Coturnix japonica: one gene and its partner. The protein of the gene in region 2 interacts with the protein of the main gene of each other region in a pairwise test. Links are inferred from orthologs where the notes say so. Each region holds a gene or a part of one and is shown on either strand. Other genes may lie near its edges. The genes, in order: RASA1 and DLC1.

What was found.
Region 1: the proteins of DLC1 (region 2) and RASA1 interact in binary tests that used the Homo sapiens proteins (3 or more experiments, as listed by UniProt). The link is inferred for Coturnix japonica from reciprocal best matches to the Homo sapiens genes DLC1 and RASA1.

What each region holds. Positions count from the first base shown.
Region 1 is NC_029547.1:54,337,352-54,341,177, forward strand, and holds part of RASA1 (ras GTPase-activating protein 1), read right to left. Parts: intron 3,805-3,826; coding exon 3,684-3,804; intron 1,814-3,683; coding exon 1,657-1,813; intron 26-1,656; coding exon 1-25. UniProt on the Homo sapiens protein: Inhibitory regulator of the Ras-cyclic AMP pathway. Stimulates the GTPase of normal but not oncogenic Ras p21; this stimulation may be further increased in the presence of NCK1.
Region 2 is NC_029519.1:58,027,095-58,031,516, reverse strand, and holds the start of DLC1 (rho GTPase-activating protein 7), read right to left. Parts: upstream 3,019-4,422; 5' UTR 2,923-3,018; intron 1-2,922. UniProt on the Homo sapiens protein: Functions as a GTPase-activating protein for the small GTPases RHOA, RHOB, RHOC and CDC42, terminating their downstream signaling.

The DNA of each region.
Region 1 (3,826 bases), on a different chromosome or scaffold from region 2:
AACTACTATCTGAAAACAGTTTGGCCTTAAAGATAAACAGAACAAAAAAAAAAAGTTTTATTCATCTTTGTAACGTTTACAGACACCTTCACTTATTAATCTCAGACTGTACATCAGGAAAAATTTCTTTACACTGTGAGAGTGGTCAGACACAGGCACGGGCTTCCTATAGAGGTGGTGGATGCCCCATGCCTGATTTATATTGTATAAGAAAGCATACTGGCTTACAGTCAAAGCATAAGTAATCACCTTGAAACATGAAAGACTTGCCACTACAATCTATTCCCACAAACTTTTAAAAACAAGCAAAGGCTCAGCATTAGTTCCCAAGCAATTAAAGACACATGAAGGATTTGTTCTTTCAGGAAATACTACCATAAGAAATCCCCTACATGAATGTGCCCCACAGGACTCATGGCCAATAAAATGTTTATTGGGTCACACAGCAACCATTTGCTACACACCTCTAAATCTGTACATGGAATTATGGTGTCTCGGCCATTTTGTATGCCACCATCCATTTGTCAAAAACACTACCAAGTGTTAAATTACAAGCTATTTTAAATGACACTTTGTTCACAGCCTTCCAGTTTATGTTGAAGGAAACCTAGCTGTCCCAATCATTGCATTATACAAAATCTCATTTCTTTTTCCAGTGGAATTTCAACCTTCTGTTCTCCATCTGTTTCACTGGCTGGTGAATGTGTCCATGTCACAGCATGGGGGAGAGCAGGAAGTAACCGGAGCTAGAGCTCTTTATATCACTACCCTCAAAGAAACAAGCAAAACTACAAACTTCATCGTACTTCTGAGAAAAGGGCAAAAACAGAGTTTGGGATTATTTTTCTTATTTTTTTCCTTCTTCCAATAGCAGCTACTTAAAATATCGGAGGAACTTTACCTCAGCTACAGTTCCTCACTATCAGCTAAAGTTTCCTTCAGTTGATGAAACCATGCATTTCCTTCTCCCCACATTCAGAACCAGTTACTGCCCAGTTTCACAGCAGAGCGCTTCTTAGGAGGTAGTCATCAAACAAACTGTTCCTTCTTTACATTGTACAAATATGCACCAAAGCTTCCTTCATAATTGCCAGCTTACATACAGAAAATTTCAAGTGTTTATTTATTATGGATGGTACCATGGATTTTTAGAATTTTTGAGTAAAAAAAAAAAGGTTGGAATAAAAATGCCAAATATTTGGGATACTCATCTTAAATAGAAAACTCTTTATAAACTCTGCCTATCCAAGTTAGCTTTCAAATATCTATCAAAGGTACAATGATGTCTCAGCATTGACAAAACCCTTAATCTTCTCAATTCTTGATTCTATCTGGTCAAAACCCTCAGCATTATTTCATCATTTCTCACGTATCTATCACAAAACATGAAACAATTATTATGCTTAATATTCAGATACAATAACACAAAAAGCTTGAATGATTACACCTTATTTCACAAAAAAAACCTTTAACTTGAAATACCAAAATCGTTAATTTCAATTAGTTTAGGAACAGTTACTAGTATGAATATGAATGAATAACTGCAATCAATACAAGCCAGCTCACTGGCAACAAGTTGCATTTGCACTGTGCATGTCTGAAACTAACAGTCAAGTCTCCTGCTGCACATACAAGAATTATGGGCCAGCATCCTACCTGCCAAACAAGCTGTCATGTACTCCATACACAGAACACACGCTAAGGTCTATTAGTCCTTTGGGTTTTGTGGCTCGTTTTTCACTTTCAAAATAAATAAGCTGGGCATCATTTCCCTCTAATATAAAGTATAAGTTTTTCCATCTTTTTCCTTTACCTGTAGGAAAGTAAAGCCAGAAGTTGTAATTGTTTTAAATAAAACATCAATTTTGTAAATTCAGATAACAAAGCAGAGCTGTTTCTGTCAAGCATCAAACAGAAGGATATTTAGCTAATCACTATTATAATGGCATAGCTAGTCACTGTAGAAGACCAACAAAAAACACTTTCTGACCTGCTGGGTGTATTTGATTTAAAAAGACACCTGAAAGGGACCCCCGTGAGTCATCATCTTCATATTGTCAATGGTCATCATTACTGTTTGCTGATTCAAGACTATAACCTCTGGCCAAGTGCACACCCTCCCCTCACCCCTTCTTCAGCACTGCAGGCTGACACTGGAACTCTTTGAAAGAGACCTTTTGAACAGTCTGGTGACCAATCCTTTTCCTGTCAATTTTTCTGACTCTCACCCCTTGTCTGTTTTCCTCAGTTTCACCTTTTCATTATTTTTCTCTCATAAAATTAAGTTTCCTAAAATCTGTAACAACTTCATGAGATAAGTCAAAATTGTTAAGTACTAATGTTATTCTGGTTCTTTAATATCATATAGTTTATCTGGATGGTTTAACGTAGATTCTAAGTATTAGAGTGCCAGTATTTTGAGGATAATTGTAGCATGTAGGTTATCATGAAAATGGATGATTGAATGTGGACCTCCTATGCATCATTTTACCATAACCTAACCGGGGGCATTCATGAATCTGGTCATCAGTTCCCTCCCTTTAGGGGCAGGATGTGACAATCACACACATATCAGTATATATATACACATATATATATAAGCATATATACTCAATTTTGTGCAACATATAGCTAAATCCAGACTATCACCACAGTTTTACATATGGTTGCAATTAGTTCTTTAAACATCTTAATTTCATCAAGACTGCATATGCGAGTGCATACAAGCTGCTAGGACACTGTGTACACATGAATAGGTTGACTTGGTATCTGTACAGTTAACAGTTTATGTCCTGATTCACCGATCCCATTTTATTCCAATAACTTTTAATTAGGAAACAGGCTCTAGACAAGAGAACGCTACTCCTGAACTCTGAGCAATTTGCAGTAGGAACATCAAAGCACCATAAAAAATATGACTGAACAGCAGAGATGGGAACACATTATATGCAGATCTGAATTAGAATCACACGCTTTTATCCACCAAATTGTCAACTTTCATTTTTCATTCAGAGAAATTAATCTCTGACCTCCAATGGATTAGATCTTCCTGGAACTAATTCATATATGACACAATATGTTTTAGAAAAATAAAATAAAATAAATGCAGATTTATCTTTATAGTTTGAATATGATGAACTCACCACACTAGCAGTGTGGTTTTGAAAACACGACTCTACCATCCAGTTATTACATTGTCCACTAGATGGCAGATAGATTATATTTGTTCCATATGTGGCTATGGGCACCTCTCTACATCTACACAGCACTCCTGTTTGCATTTTCAAGTATCTCATTTTCTCTTCTAGCTAAAATTAATTATGGCTGATGGTACCAGTGATATAACCCTGAAAAAGTCCCTATGTATCTTATAGATAAAACAGTACTTTTAAGATTTAAAATATGCAGCGTAGCCTGGAATAACAAAATAGCTCTGATCTGCAATGATCAGATTTATATCCTCCTAGCTTGCTTCAATCTATTCTGTCTGAAAAAATATGAGCTTCAAGTAAAACACACAGTTTTGGTTACCATACTTTTTATCAGACTTTTTCACACTCTTCACACATTTTCTCTATCTTTTCGCTTCTACTTTGTCCTTTCTAGTACTAGTTTTATGTAATAAGTTACCAAACATGCATCCATGTTTGTTCCACAGAAAAAAAGCCATAAGCAGAACTCACTTTTCTTCAGAAGATAGCCTTTTTTGACAATGTTTTTATAGAAAGCATCCTTAGTTTTGCGACGAATTGTATTGTAAATTTCTTTTCCATCCAATGTATCATTGAACACTTGCTCTTGGTGCTAGGAAAGAAGGAAGAAAACA
Region 2 (4,422 bases):
AAATGGCAACAATAGAGTAAATGCAGCTTGTGCAGATTTACTTGACGTTAGCTACCAGTTGGCTAGAGACTTCCAGACCAAATTATTGTGTTTTCAGGTTATACCACTTGTAATATATGCAATTGCATTATATTCTACCTAAAGATAAATCAAGTGAAGGATGACAATAATGCGGCAAACAATAAATTGGAACAAGATGATGTTCCAATTGTTTCTTACATATATAAATACACACACACACACATACATATATATACACACACATACATACACACATATATAAGAACTTAATACCATGATAATCCTAATTTAATTTCCTTACAACAGTTGAGACCTGGGAAAAGCTTGTACAGCAATATCAGAAATATAAAGGGCAATTCAGAACATTCAGGAAAACAAACTGATTTTTTTTCTGGTAGTCTGAAATAAACACATTTTGCCAGGCTAAATATCAGTCTCAGAGTTCTCTCATTCACTGAGCTGCCTTTGTCAGTGTCAGGAAGTTAAAAGCCTTATTAGCCATCAGCTAACAATTTTGGTAACAATAGGTAGAAATGCATTAAGAAGATACTATCGATATAATTCACAAAGACTGCCTGCCCTCAGGACACAGTTACATTCAAATATCAATAAAATCTGTATTCCTGTAATTTCCCTATCACCTCTGCTTTTCATCAAATGAGACTAGCGATATGTTCTTTACTGCCAAGCATGGAAAGAGTGAAATGATTTCTCTCTCCCCATACACAGTGTCTGCAATCTGCATAACTCTCACGAAGTTACAGAACTCTTGCTATACAGCAAGACTACTTTTTGGCTGGGGCAAAGGATAGGGGAGTATGTGGAAGAACACGTAGGAAATGAGGTTTTAACTGCAAAAAATAAGTATTAATATGTCAGATAACTTCATATGCAGATGCAAAAGACTCTTCCTTTGGCTTCTGTTTTTTCTCCTCTTCTGTTCCCTGCTCCAAAAATGCCCTTCTTGTTCAAATCGTGCAAGGCACTGCACTTGTGTATAGTCTGTTTTGTTCCACAGGGAAGAGTGAAAAAAAGTAAGAAAACAAAGCAAACAATCTGGAGACTTCTCACAACATTTGGATATGGATGACATTCAAGTATGGAAAGTAAAGAATGGGTCATTGTTCATTGTCATCTTTCCAGGGAAGCAATTTTCATTGCTCTACATTGTCATGAGATAAATATTAACGCTTTTTTCCCCCAAGAAATGGGAACAGAAAACCTGTTCAATTCACAGCAAAATGTGCTATAGGGCCTGTGGAGGAGAAGCTCTTTGAAAAATAAAACATTTTTTGCAATGGACAAAGCACGTGGGATAAAGTCTGCTAAAGCTATCAGACAGCCGTATAAGTGTTGAATATATCAAAAACTATATAACTAAGAAACCAAATGAACCACTTGTTTAATATACTAAGAGATAGCCCAGTTAGTGTCAAATACCATAAGAGAATATGGTACATACGACTGTGAGATTCAGTGCCTCTAAAACTAAGTAGCTCAAACACAACAGGACCCTGATCATTCACTAATTTGTGAATGAACAGGGTTAGCAGCTGAAAATACTCCTAATCACTGCCCTCAGAAAAAGAGCAGTTGGAGAAGCACAGGAAAGGCAGTTGTCCTTCCAAACTTTTTGGTGACAAGGAACACTTAAACATTAATGATTGCTATGACAATTTACACGTATAAGTCAATTTTATTATTATGACTCAGACATTTCATTACATAGACTTCTCTGTGTATCTGTTAATGAAGTAATTTATGCTGTAGCTGATTATGTACATAAAACAACCAGTCTAACAAAGATAAATTATTATATTTCCTTTCACAAGCAGTACCCAAAGCAGGGAATACATTTAATAGACTTGAGATTTCCTAGCACTCTCTAATTTGGGTTTCAGAATTTTTCAGTAGGGGAACATTTTAAGAGCAGGTTAAAATGATTTTTTATTCACTTACAGTTACAAGTAGGTGCTCTATACATCACACTGACAACGTAAACCTCCAAAGTATAAAAGTCAAAGACCCTTGCCCTACCTAAAAGCAAACTGATAGATAAAACCGAGGAATTTCAATTAAGAATGAATGTGCAATTACTTTAAGGAAGAATAAAACCAAGCTATCCATTAGGAATATACAAGCAGCTGTTTAAAAAAAAAAAAAAAAAAAAGGCTGTGTGATCATTCAATTAGCTCTCAACCTTGAAGGCCACAGATCATTTCATTTGTCACCACATCGATTAGGCAGCTCTACATTTTGAGGGCTGCTTGCCATTAGGTCATTAAATCCAGATAATTTATTTTCTTAGATTTGCATGAATACATCCTACATTAGCTAATTAAGAAAGTCAGAAAATTTGTATCAAGCCCTTTTTATGTGTATAACAAATTACTATTCTGAAAACGCAGACATATTATATGTATTTCTTCAAGGTAAATTACAAGCAAGGACTTACTTAAAACTGAAAATTGTCATATCCATTCTGTTAACTATGAAACTACAAGATAAAAATAAATACTGAAGAAATAAATAGAAATACTATTTATTTAAAAATATTTAATTTAGAAATAGTAAACATCTTAAGTAAGAATCTTAAGTATTCTCTCAAAATCATAAAAATCAACATATGAAGTACAAGAGCCATTTCTAGAATTTTTACATGCTTTTGAACCCTCCTTTTTCCAATGATAAAACAACATCCACATTTATCAGGAGCTTGAATTGAAAATATACTAACTCTAACAAGTAAAGGCAGTTATACAGTTTTTAAAACACTTTTTTTTTTTTTTTCATAGAAGCTGAACTGATACTGTAGTATCTGAAGTAATTTTATTTAAAGAAAAATTACTTAGAAATGCTTTCTTGTTTTGTTTCAAGGTGTATCAAAGATCATTCTCCTACCTTAGTTAAAGATGCCTGCTTCTGACTGGAGCAGTTTTACTTGCATGCTTGTAAACTCTTGAGCAGTAATCCTGTTATGTGTCTACAGCAGTTTCATAGGGGTGGGACTTCTATCTAATAATGAATTCACCAGGGAATCTTCCTGTTCAAAGAACACTGCTGCAGAAAAGGCACTCTACATTTACCGTCACAAGGTTTTAGATGATTAGGTTGACACAGGGAGTAAGTACACTTACATATATTTAGTGATGTGGAATAAAATATTTTCTATATGGTAACATTTGGACAAAAAGACTGAAAATTGCATTATGCTTTACAGGAGAATTTTAAATGTGTGTGTGTATACAGAGATTAAAGAAAATAAATATGAGAAAATCACTTATCTAGTGTGGGTGTAGCATACCGACATGACTGGTAAGGTTAGTAATTTTAAACATTTAATCTGAGAAGCAGAAACTCAAAATCATATTTTAAAATGTGTATTAATACATTCAAAATTGTACTTTAAAGTACCGATTCATACTTTAAAAGTTATATTTTATTGTATCATCATAAATGATGAGCTGCCTAAAAAGCAGATGCACATCCACACACTGGCAACCACTAATTTCCCCTGTCCAGTGGCAGCACAGATCTAATGAAGGAGCCCTGTAATATGTTAACTAACTCAATAACATCAAAACTAGCTTCCTACAAGCTCTGTGAATGTGAGTGGTGATACTTTTGGCCACTATTAAGATGTACGAGCAAAAAAATACTGGAGAAGACTTACATGGTTATCGAAAGAGACATTTCTGACAAGGCTACAGCACCGAGCATGAAAAAGGCTGAGAAAGTGTTCCGCTGTTCAATCAACCACATTAGTGAAGCTAAATCATCCAGCGTTTTTCTCATCTTGTTTGTAAATTATGAAAAGCAAAATAAAGCACATCTAGACCTAAAGTTAACAAAACCAAGTTAAAAATAGAACTTGAAGGATTTTAAGATACCCAAATTTAAAATAATCGAGATCCTCAATTTTTGCTAATGTCTAAATCAGGAAAACCTCTAAAGGAATCTACATAATATAAATAGAACTAAGATTCCTATCTGCCTCTAGAATTGCATGTTTAGTTATTCGCAGATGTCCATTTGAAGACAGGGTTGAGAATGTTTGTAGCTAGCTCTTTCAAAATGTGAAATTGGGCCAAGTAAACAGATGGTTCATTCCCTAAAATACTTAAAAAGCACCACCCTACCTTTCTGCTTCTGCTTGATGCCTCTGATACATTGACGCCTCAATACAGGTACTGAGAGTCACACCTTTCTCTGAATTGCTCTGATTCAGCATTGATTCAGTGTAAGGAAGACAAATCAACTCCCCTGCCTTTGATTTCATTTCCCAACTGTATTCAAGTGCCCTTGTTGATGCAAGTCACAAAGTGGTCTATGTGCTTACTACACCTTCTTTTGAAACTTTTTCAATAAGGACAGAACACCAGAATTTGAGGTACTTAAAAG